Linked DNA regions of Pelodiscus sinensis. The protein of the gene in region 3 purifies or fractionates together with the protein of the main gene of each other region. This does not show direct contact. Links are inferred from orthologs where the notes say so. Each region holds a gene or a part of one and is shown on either strand. Other genes may lie near its edges. The genes, in order: BCAS2, DDX23 and SNW1.

Region 1 (3,740 bases), on a different chromosome or scaffold from region 3:
GAATTACTTAAACAAGTCTGTTGGCCTGACAGTGCAGCTGGAGGCTGGTTTCTGATAGCACTTTCTCATAAACAGTTGTTTACGTGGCACTGATGGACTCTGACTGAATCCTGTGTAATGACAATGACTGCTGTAGTGAAATGAAAAGTCTTCTTAGTGCTCCAACCTAACGTAGCACGTACTAGTTGTATACAGTGTTGACATACAGAATTCATACATGAGTTTGAAAAGTCCCCAGTGGAGCTCAGTTCCTTGTATAGAACAACACTTGGAAGGGGCTTATATTCCCAATAGCAGTTTGTCCATGTCTACAGGGGTATGATTTTGCGTAAATACTTTTAAGAGTTTTTGTGTTCAAGTATTTGCGTAAGAGTGTTTGCAGGTGCCTGTGCCGTGGTGCACGAGGTGTCCACGCCAGTGCAGACGCTCTCTTGTGCAAGAACGCTCTGATGGCCATTTCAGCCCCTGGGCTTTCTTGTGTAAGATACTCCTGGTGCCTGTGCCCCCTGGGGCAGCCGGGCTTCTCCAGGAGCGGGCGGCGCATGGCTCCGGCGCACGAGGCCCTGATTCCTGAGCCCATGGCTGCTCTGGCCCAGGAGGTCCCGCCCGGAGCGGCCGCCCAGCCCCTGCCCCGCGCTCTGGCTGAAGGGGGCGCAGGCCCCTCAACGTCTCCCGGGAGCGGCGGGGCGCGGGACCCCGAACCCGGGGGGGGGGGGGGGGGGGGCTGACGCGGGCTTGGCGCCCCCCGCTCTGCCTCGGGCGGGACCGGCCCCGCGCGCTGGGACGAAGCGGAGCTGGCGGTTAACGGCTCCGGCTGCAGCCCCCGCCGCACGCTCAGGCCAAGCCAGGGAGGGGCGCAGGGCCCATCCCCCCGGTCTCTAAGGAGACGCCGCGCGCCAGGGCCAATGGGCGGGGAGGGGCGGGCTGAGGGGGATCCAGGTGGCGCGTGCACCCTACGCAGCCATAGCGCGCGGGTCTCTGCGCCTGCGCACAAAAGGCAAGCGGACCGGGGCGCAGGCGCGCTGAGGGCAGGGGCGTCGGGGTCACGGCGCAGGCGCAGCGGAGCGGAGCGCGCGGTCGCTCTCACTGCTGCCATGTCGGGCCCGGGGCTGGTGGCCGGCGAGGTGGCGGTGGACGCGCTGCCCTACTTCGACCAAGGCTACGAGGCGCCGGGCGTGCGGGAGGCGGTGAGTGGGGGGGGAGAGAGCGCTGGGCCGGGTCGTGTGTGTGTGTGTCGGGGGGGGCTGTCCCCGTGTGTGTGTGTGTGTGTGTCGGGGGGGGGCTGTCCCCGTGTGTGTGTGTGTGTGTGTGTCGGGGGGGGGCTGTCCCCGTGTGTGTGTGTGTGTGTCGGGGGGGGGGCTGTCCCCGTGTGTGTGTGTGTGTGTGTGTGTGTCGGGGGGGGGCTGTCCCCGTGTGTGTGTGTGTGTGTGTGTGTCGGGGGGGGCTGTCCCCGTGTGTGTGTGTGTGTGTCGGGGGGGGCTGTCCCCGTGTGTGTGTGTGTCGGGGGGGGCTGTCCCCGTGTGTGTGTGTGTGTGTCGGGGGGGGGCTGTCCCCGTGTGTGTGTGTGTGTGTGTGTGTGTGTCGGGGGGGGCTGTCCCCGTGTGTGTGTGTGTGTGTGTGTGTGTGTCGGGGGGGGCTGTCCCCGTGTGTGTGTGTGTGTGTGTGTGTCGGGGGGGGCTGTCCCCGTGTGTGTGTGTGTGTGTGTGTGTCGGGGGGGGCTGTCCCCGTGTGTGTGTGTGTGTGTGTGTGTGTCGGGGGGGGGCTGTCCCCGTGTGTGTGTGTGTGTGTGTCGGGGGGGGGCTGTCCCCGTGTGTGTGTGTGTGTGTGTGTCGGGGGGGGCTGTCCCCGTGTGTGTGTGTGTGTGTGTGTGTCGGGGGGGGGCTGTCCCCGTGTGTGTGTGTGTGTGTGTGTCGGGGGGGGCTGTCCCCGTGTGTGTGTGTGTGTGTGTGTCGGGGGGGGCTGTCCCCGTGTGTGTGTGTGTGTGTCGGGGGGGGGCTGTCCCCGTGTGTGTGTGTGTGTGTCGGGGGGGGCTGTCCCCGTGTGTGTGTGTGTGTGTGTGTCGGGGGGGGCCTGTCCCCGTGTGTGTGTGTGTGTGTGTCGGGGTGGGGGCTGTCCCCGTGTGTGTGTGTGTGTGTGTGTGTGTCGGGGGGGCTGTCCCCGTGTGTGTGTGTGTGTGTGTGTGTGTGTGTCGGGGGGGGGCTGTCCCCGTGTGTGTGTGTGTGTGTGTCGGGGGGGCTGTCCCCGTGTGTGTGTGTGTGTGTCGGGGGGGGCTGTCCCCGTGTGTGTGTGTGTGTGTGTCGGGGGGGGCTGTCCCCGTGTGTGTGTGTGTGTGTGTCGGGGGGGGCTGTCCCCGTGTGTGTGTGTGTGTGTGTCGGGGGGGGGCTGTCCCCGTGTGTGTGTGTGTGTGTGTGTGTGTGTGTGTCGGGGGGGGGCTGTCCCCGTGTGTGTGTGTGTGTGTGTGTGTGTCGGGGGGGGGCTGTCCCCGTGTGTGTGTGTGTGTCGGGGGGGGGCTGTCCCCGTGTGTGTGTGTGTGTGTGTGTGTGTGTGTGTCGGGGGGGGGCTGTCCCCGTGTGTGTGTGTGTGTGTGTGTCGGGGGGGGCTGTCCCCGTGTGTGTGTGTGTGTGTGTCGGGGGGGGGCTGTCCCCGTGTGTGTGTGTGTGTGTGTGTCGGGGGGGGGCTGTCCCCGTGTGTGTGTGTGTGTGTGTGTCGGGGGGGGGCTGTCCCCGTGTGTGTGTGTGTGTGTGTGTCGGGGGGGGCTGTCCCCGTGTGTGTGTGTGTGTGTGTGTCGGGGGGGGGCTGTCCCTGTGTGTGTGTGTGTGTCGGGGGGGGGCTGTCCCTGTGTGTGTGTGTGTGTCGGGGGGGGCTGTCCCCGTGTGTGTGTGTGTGTGTGTCGGGGGGGGCTGTCCCCGTGTGTGTGTGTGTGTGTGTCGGGGGGGGGCTGTCCCCGTGTGTGTGTGTGTCGGGGGGGAGGCTGTCCCCGTGTGTGTGTGTGTGTGTGTGTGTGTCGGGGGGGGGCTGTCCCCGTGTGTGTGTGTGTGTGTGTGTCGGGGGGGGCTGTCCCCGTGTGTGTGTGTGTGTGTGTGTCGGGGGGGGCTGTCCCCGTGTGTGTGTGTGTGTGTGTGTGTGTGTCGGGGGGGGGGCTGTCCCCGTGTGTGTGTGTGTGTGTGTCGGGGGGGGGCTGTCCCCGTGTGTGTGTGTGTGTGTGTCGGGGGGGGGGCTGTCCCCGTGTGTGTGTGTGTGTGTGTCGGGGGGGGGCTGTTCCCGTGTGTGTGTGTGTGTGTGTGTGTGTGTGTGTGTGTGTGTGTGTGTCGGGGGGGGGCTGTCCCCGTGTGTGTGTGTGTGTCGGGGGGGGGCTGTCCCCGTGTGTGTGTGTGTGTGTGTGTGTGTCGGGGGGGGGCTGTCCCCGTGTGTGTGTGTGTGTGTGTGTGTGTCGGGGGGGGGGCTGTCCCCGTGTGTGTGTGTGTGTGTGTGTGTGTCGGGGGGGGGGCTGTCCCCGTGTGTGTGTGTGTGTGTGTGTCGGGGGGGGGGCTGTCCCCGTGTGTGTGTGTGTGTGTGTGTCGGGGGGGGCTGTCCCCGTGTGTGTGTGTGTGTGTGTCGGGGGGGGCTGTCCCCGTGTGTGTGTGTGTGTGTCGGGGGGGGCTGTCCCCGTGTGTGTGTGTGTGTGTGTGTCGGGGGGGGGGCTGTCCCCGTGTGTGTGTGTGTGTGTGTGTCGGGGGGGGGGCTGTCCCCGTGTGTGTGTG
Region 2 (3,740 bases), on a different chromosome or scaffold from region 3:
GGTTGCATTCCCAGAAACTCTCCCATAACACTGTACGCACTGGCAGAGGTGGGGGTGCAAGGTTTTACCTGGAGCGTTTCCTGTCCTTGTCCCGCCGGTGCCCATCTTTCTCCCTCTCGCGATCCTTCTTATTCCGCTCACGCTCTTTTTGTCTCCGCTCCCTACAAGGGTAGAGCCGGGGGATCAGTTACCAGCCTGTCAGAGCCAACCACACGGCCCCCCACCCCTAGGCCTGGAGGCTGCTACCTCTCAGCTGACTTGGAACGGGAGCGGGATCTTGATCGGCTGCCCCGCCTCCTCTCCCGAGACCTGTGTCGCTTCCTGTCACGGTCCCTGTCCAGGGAGCTCGCACGTTTCCTCTCCTCCTTGGGGGGTGACAAGTCCCGCTCCTTCTTGTCGGGCACGTCACCAGCCATCTGTGCAGGGCAGTAAGAGGCTGTTAATGGGGGTGTGGAGGGTGTGAGAGGGGAACTGAGCTTCCATTAGCTTGGCACTGCCCCCCCCCCCCAAAAAAAAATACACGGGACACATCATTAGGTGCGGGCTGGCTTGGGGAGAGCAGAGAATGAGGATCTTCCCCTCTGGGGGGCGCTGACTCCCATCCAGAATTGGCCCAAGGGCAGAGGGGAAGGGAAGAGGGTGATTCCCTATTTTGGCCTTGGTGCAGCAGGGGTGTCTGGGCAGTTCACAGGACATACACCCTTTTTAATACAGGGTTACCACAGTAAACCCATGACCCTAACCCTGGGAGAGAATCCAGGAGTCCACTTCCCCCGCAACTCCACGAAAGAACCAAGGAATAGACCCCTGCACAGACACAAAGTTCTGTACCTGCATCTGTATCTGCAAAAGTGAGCTGCGGATATCCGCATCCATTAAGGACGTAAAAGGTTACCTGTAAGCATTAGCCATACTAGCATGCTCACCAGATAACTGGTTAAACGGAGGGGGGGGGGAAGAAGCAGTCCCCCATCTGCTGTGGCCCGGCTGACAGGAACCCGTGGGCCAGAGTGGTCCCCCGCCCATGGCACGACCCCAGCTGACCGGCTGGACCAGCCCCCCCACCTGTGACGTGGCCTGACCCTAGTGGGCTGGCTGGAGCAGTCCCGCAGCACAACACAAAGCAGTCCCCAACCCGTAGCGTGACATAACCCCAGTGGGCTGGCTGAAGCAGTCCCTCGCCCACAGTGCGACCCCAAGTGGATGGCCACAGCAGTCCACAGCGTGGCGTGACCACAGCTGGCCAACTGGAGCAATTCCTCATCTACAGCACAGCGCAACCCCAGCAGGCTGGCCAGAGCAGTCCCCCACCCGCACACAGAGGGCAGAGCCCCCCCCACAGCAGGATGGCCAGACCCCAGCAATACAGTTAACCGGTTCATTGATTACAATTAAATCGTTTAACCAGTTCACTTTGTATATTTACATCCCTAGCAGCGGTATCCAAGCAGGACCTGTGGGTATAAAAGGGTCATCCACAGATGACCAGAATATATGCAGTGTTATAGATCCAACATTTGCAACCACATCCACGCAAATGAGCCGTAGATACACACATCCACATCCGCGTGTGGGGACACCCACAGATATCTGTGGATTTGCAGGGCTTTTCCCAGACTCCCTTCCGCCTCTTCCCCAACCATGCGAGAGAACCCAGCAGAGGGGGCTTCCTCCGCATCCCAGACTATTCCCTCTAAGCTGGGCGCTTGTGCGGCTGCTCAGGAGACATTCAGATGCCACCCAGATGATTAGCAGAGCGCCCCCAGCTAGGTTTTTGTTCCTACTGGTGGTGCACATTCACACATGCCTCAGGGCACGCAAAATGTATTCTGCACATGGATGGAAGGAATTAGAGGGAACATTGTCCTGACCCCACGAGACTGCCCAGAGGTCCGTGCTCTGCCCCTCCCTCCCCCGAGAACCCAGAGATCCGGGCTCTGCCCCCCCCGAGACCCCAGGGATCCGGGCTCTGCCCCCCCCCCAGAGATCCCAGGGATCCGGGCTCTGCCCCCCCCAGAGATCCCAGAGATCCGGGCTCTGCCCCCCCCGAGACCCCAGGGATCCGGGCTCTGCCCCCCCCCGAGACCCCAGGGATCCGGGCTCTGCCCCCCCCCCAGAGACCCCAGGGGTCCGGGCTCTGCCCCCCCCCCAGAGACCCCAGGGATCCGGGCTCTGCCCCCCCCCCAGAGACCCCAGAGATCCGGGCTCTGCCCCCCCCCAGAGACCCCAGGGATCCGGGCTCTGCCCCCCCCCCAGAGACCCCAGAGATCCGGGCTCTGCCCCCCCCCCCGAGACCCCAGGGCCCAGGCTCTGCCCCCCCCCCCCGAGACCCCAGGGCCCAGGCTCTGCCCCCCCCCCCCCGAGACCCCAGGGCCCAGGCTCTGCCCCCCCCCCCGAGACCCCAGGGGGCCCAGGCTCTGCCCCCCCCCCCGACACAACAGGGCCCGGGCTCCGGCTGTGGCTTGCGGGGCGCAGGGCGGCGGGTTCGAGCCCCTGCCCCCAGGAGCAGCAGGACCGGCTGCCCCGAGAGCCGGGCTCCCCTCCCCCCGAGAGCGCTCCGGGGCCCCACAGCGCCGCACTCACCCCGCGCCGCGCCTCCTACTAGGCCTCACAGCCCCTGCGCAGCAGCCGCCATCTTACGACAGGCCCCCGCGCGACACTGTCGCAACGCCGCGCGGCATGCCGGGAAAGCGAGGCCGGCTTGGGCGGCCGGCGGCGACCGCGTCCGCAGCGCAGCAACTACCGCTCCCAGCAGGCACCGCGCGGCTCGCCGCCGGCATCCTAGGGAAGGTCGCTCCCGGCGCTGAGTCCGAAACAGCGCCCCCTGCTGCCCCAGCGCGCCCTGCCACCGCCCCCCCCAACTGCTGGCAGCAGCCTGCCCTGCTGCACCAGCACCAATCCCATCACTGCCCTTCCTCCTCCCCCCATTCCTGCCTGTACCCCCACCCTCATTATCACTGGCCCTGGCCTCACTGCTGCTTCTTTCTCCCTCTCCCCCCCCCCCCAACACCGCCCTCTGGCCTCACCGCCCCTGCTCCAGTTCCTCCTGTGCACCCAGCCCTGCCCCCACCCATCCAGCCTCTGTGCATTGGGTTCCCATGCAGCTGGGCTCCGCAGAAGACACCAAGCCTGCTCCTCCTCTCCCCACCAGCAGCACGGCCCCTGGGGACGCTCCTCAACCCGGCAGCCAGAGCCAGGGTAGACTCCTCCACTTCATTCACCAGGATCTCACTAGCTTAACACCCAGGGCTTCCAGCTCTCTTGAGCCAGCTGGTTCTGCAGCCCAACATTTCCAAGGGAGAGTGTCAGCCCACGGGGCTATTGGCCCGCTGTGAGCCGGTGGCTCAGAATCTCCAGGACAGGGAGCCCTCTGGGGCCAGTCTGAAGAGCCCCCCTCGTCCCCCCAATATGTTAGAACCACTGCAGTCACAGCTTCAGGGGCAATGGGAGACTTCCTGGGGCTGGCCCGGCCAAGCTCATGGCCCCACTGATTGCTGTGAAGAAGGGGCTGGGCTGAAGAGGGGGCAGGGGAGGAGAGAGAAGGACAGCTGTAACCAAACCACCTCCCTCCCGACTGTCTGCCACAGCAGAAGGAGCTGCTGTGAGTTACAGGGCCAGGCTGGCCCTAGACACCAACCCCACTGCCTGGACCAGAACCCCATAGTCACTGTGGCCTGAAGGGTCCTTATACTGTGATCACATCCCCTTGCCTCTCTCTGCACCCTAGCAGAGTTGAGTTC
Region 3 (3,740 bases):
CTCACCCTCTCCAGCACTCCAACACTCTGCTCCAGCCTGGATCCCCCTACTGTACCCAACTTCCCTCCCTCCCAAAAAGAATCTTATATAACAGCTGTTCTCAGGTAAAAAGTAGGATATTTTGAATTAACTATAGTCTATATGTTTAATGACTGAAATGTAACAACAATGTGATGTTGCATCCCCATATTTTTATTAAAATGTGGTTTTGAAAATTAATAAGCTTTATGCAAAATGGAGCCTGTAACATATCACTGGAAAGCTTGTAATCCCTTGAGTATGTATATTCTATTTGTGTGAATGCATCAGGCCTATATTTGAAATTATAATATGAAGTATACACCAGTTTATTGATCTAGGTGTGCTAGTGAAAGACATTAATAGTACTAAGGAACTTAATGGCCCAGTGTTCAAGACAATACTCTGTGAATAGTCTCATTTTTGCATGTTTCATTTTGCATTTTGTATGATGCTTAGCTGGCATGTTATGTTTTATTTAGCTTAGTAACTACTTTGATCTGGCTATCATCACTTGCAATCACTTAAATGTTGCTATTTATATTTAATAAAAATCTCTTTTATTATTAAACCCTGTGTAAATAACTGTTACCTAGGAGTAACAACAGCTGTGCATCTCTTATTGAAAAAGGGGGCACACATCTTATGAGTTCACGCTACATAAACTTTATGCATAGTGAGATGGATTTATTTTGGGTGTTAGTCCCATTGGGGCCATGCACCTGGGATCTGTGTCAAGTCCCTGTGACTGAGCCTTTCCAAGGCTGAGAGACTCTCAGTGTTTGTGTTGCTCTTCTGTGGGCTGTGACCCCAACTCTGTACCTTTGCTGGGGAAGACCAGAGAGCCTGGCTCAGCAAGATAGAGTGTTGGGTGCACCCCAGAGGGCAGATAATGATATGATCAGCCCATCAGGGGGCAACCTCCAGGGAATCTTTGTGACCTGGGCCAACCCTCACACACAGATTCACTTTGTTAATTAAAAGGCAAGTATAGTATTAATAGTCTCAGTACCATAATTGTCATTTGTTTTAATCTGGAAAAAAGACTCATATCCAAGGCCCCCTCAAACTCTAATAGCCCTGGGCCTACAGTCAGACACCTTTGGAACAGATTGTAGGGTTGCCATGTGTCCGGTTTTGAACAGGACAGTCTAGTATTTGAGCTTTCTGTTTGGGAAACAAATTGAGAAAATATAAATGAGAAAACATAAATGTCCAGTATTTTCTAAATAAGATGTAATGTAGATTGTGATGTGATGTCAAGTGTCTCCACTATTTTTGTTGAAACCGTCTGGCAACCTTAGATCGGTGCTAGCCCAGCCGAGCAAAGACACCACGGTCTTAAAGAGATTACAACTCGCACAATGCCTATCTCTTGCGCATGTGCTTTAGAAACGTGTATGCCTCCTCCAGTCTAGGGTAGGCTTGTGAACGAAGACTACAAGTCCCAGAAGATGTTTCGGCAATAGCTCTGCGGAGTGTAGCGTATGGTCTTCGCGCTGAGGAAAGCTGAGAGACTACAACTCCCAGCATGCTTTTGATATCTGCGCCTGCGCGTTTGCTATCCCCTTCGTGCGGCTAGGGTCCCCGAGCGAGACGAGGAAGATGGCGCTCACCAGGTTGGTGGGGCTCAGGGCCGCAGTGCTTCCGTCCTGGTCCTATTCCAACGTCCCTTGTACCCCGCGCTCTTCGGGGCCCGAAGAGCCTCTTCCGGGTGCGAGGGGGCTGTTGGCCCTGCCAAGGGACAAGCCAGGCTGGCGCCGTGTAGGCCTCTCCGAGCCGGGGCCTTTCCCCAGCTCCCAGCCGCGGACTTATCTCCCAGGGGGCCAGGCCCGTAGAGACAGGCCGGGGCGTGGGGACCGGACACCTCCCACCGGCCTGCACTGGGCTGGGGGAGGGTAGGAGCTGCCTGCGCCAAGGGCGGCCCTGGAGGAGACCGTGTGCACCCAGGGTCGGGGGCTCGGCGGCCACCCCGGGCCTATGCCACGGGCCCGTGCTAGGGGTCTGGGGAGGGAGCTAGTTACGGACAGGAACCTCCCTCCAGAATCGCAGCGAGTTGTTTGCCGCTGACAGGGTTAATGCCCCCTCCGCACACCCCGTGTGGGGGTAGCGGATCCCCAGTGATTCCTTCTCCGAGGTGCTACACAGCCACTCCTCCGTGGTCACCGGCGCATAGGGAGCCTGGGGTCTGATACAGCGGCGTCCAGGGCATGCTTATGCATGGGGTTTACACATATGTGTTGGGCTTGGGCAGACACCTGCGGACTCTGTTGTTAGGTCCTATTGTGTGTACGGCTCTGTCTACGTCCTAGGGCAGTCTACTGAGAGAAGTTGAGAGGTCAGTGTCATTCTCTGTTTAGGTTAAGGGACATGTCTTTTTGTGTGTACTCCAATATATAAACCTTTTGGCAGCCAAACGTTTCCTTAAGGAAATGCAAAGGGGGCAGCCTGGTTCTGAAATGGGAGTGCAGAGCAAACTAAAAAGTGGGAAGTTAAGATTTTAGCTCAGTCCTTTGTTCTTGACCAATGGGGACAAGAGATGTTCTGGAGAATGTGTAGTCATCCCCAGAGAAAGGAACATCTTGTATTGCTTGGGTACCAAACCTTGGTCAGAATGAGTTGTATCACTGTGTCTGTGGGCATTTATGTGAGGAGTCATTAAGAACTGGAGGATATTTTCTTTTTCACTTTGACAGAATGATAGAAAACATACTTATGTAGAATGCGGTTATGTTTTGTAAGATTCCTACAGCTCTGTTGCTAAAGAAAAAACAGAGGTGGCTCCTTCTGTTCAATCAGGGGTGGGAAATATGCACTGCACTGGGACTGGGGGATAAAGAAAGGAGAAAGAGAAGAGTGAAGCTGCCTTCAACATTTCAACTCAGAGACAGCTGTGGCCCAGTTAAAAGTCCTGCACTCAATTAAGTGTTATAAATTGTTTCTGATTCAACACAGATTTGTGGCAAAGATGAACAGTTCCTTGGAATACTCTAATCAAAGAATGAAATATTGCACTTGATCTCATTTGTGTTGAGTGGGTGAGACTGTCTCAAAGTTAATATCCTTCTCTTTTTGTCTGTTCAGTTTTTTACCAGCCCCAACTCAGCTGTCTCAGGACCAGCTAGAATTAGAAGAAAGAGCAAGATCTCAGAGATCAAGACAGACTGCACTGGTATCATCGCGCAGGGAACCTCCCCCTTATGGTTATCGAAAAGGATGGATACCACGAATGCTAGAGGTAAATATTTGACTTCATACTCTGGTGATAGCTCTCATTTATTTTGGGGGAATTTTTTAAAAGATTAAATCCAAGCATTTGAACATAGCACAGAAAATTGTATAGTGCCCCACCATATCAGAAATTGACTGGTTATGTCCATCAATCCAGGTAGAAATATTCTGGGTTTGTTTTTGTTTTATAGTATTACTACTTACTAGAGAAACCTTCTAACTATATTGTACATAACCTTCCCTGTGGAGAATATTATGAAGTGAAACAAGTAGTCCTTGCAGATGCCTTCTGAATACATGTCTATTTTCATTTTCCTGATTTGTTAAATATACAGTCCAGATGAAAGTTCTCCGTGCATGGTTACAGTTGGACAGCTAAAAAAAAGTTGAATTAGAGAATAATCTCATAGTTATGTTTTCATAGATATCAGCTTATTTTATTTTCTTGTGTTTGTAGTAACATTGGCATTTGTCAGACATTCAGTGTTATA

The links.
Region 1: the proteins of SNW1 (region 3) and BCAS2 purify together in Homo sapiens (co-immunoprecipitation; 3 studies listed by BioGRID and IntAct, with this or other methods). This does not show direct contact. The link is inferred for Pelodiscus sinensis from reciprocal best matches to the Homo sapiens genes SNW1 and BCAS2.
Region 2: the proteins of SNW1 (region 3) and DDX23 purify together in Homo sapiens (affinity purification with mass spectrometry; 3 studies listed by BioGRID and IntAct, with this or other methods). This does not show direct contact. The link is inferred for Pelodiscus sinensis from reciprocal best matches to the Homo sapiens genes SNW1 and DDX23.

Annotation. Positions count from the first base shown.
Region 1 is NC_134737.1:741,760-745,499, forward strand, and holds the start of BCAS2 (pre-mRNA-splicing factor SPF27), read left to right. Parts: upstream 1-1,015; 5' UTR 1,016-1,094; coding exon 1,095-1,187; intron 1,188-3,740. UniProt on the Homo sapiens protein: Required for pre-mRNA splicing as component of the activated spliceosome. Component of the PRP19-CDC5L complex that forms an integral part of the spliceosome and is required for activating pre-mRNA splicing.
Region 2 is NC_134729.1:5,094,297-5,098,036, reverse strand, and holds the start of DDX23 (putative ATP-dependent RNA helicase DDX23), read right to left. Parts: upstream 2,738-3,740; 5' UTR 2,584-2,737; intron 417-2,583; coding exon 247-416; intron 162-246; coding exon 69-161; intron 1-68. UniProt on the Homo sapiens protein: Involved in pre-mRNA splicing and its phosphorylated form (by SRPK2) is required for spliceosomal B complex formation.
Region 3 is NC_134714.1:41,584,849-41,588,588, forward strand, and holds the start of SNW1 (SNW domain-containing protein 1), read left to right. Parts: upstream 1-1,490; 5' UTR 1,491-1,623; coding exon 1,624-1,637; intron 1,638-3,102; coding exon 3,103-3,256; intron 3,257-3,740. UniProt on the Homo sapiens protein: Involved in pre-mRNA splicing as component of the spliceosome. As a component of the minor spliceosome, involved in the splicing of U12-type introns in pre-mRNAs.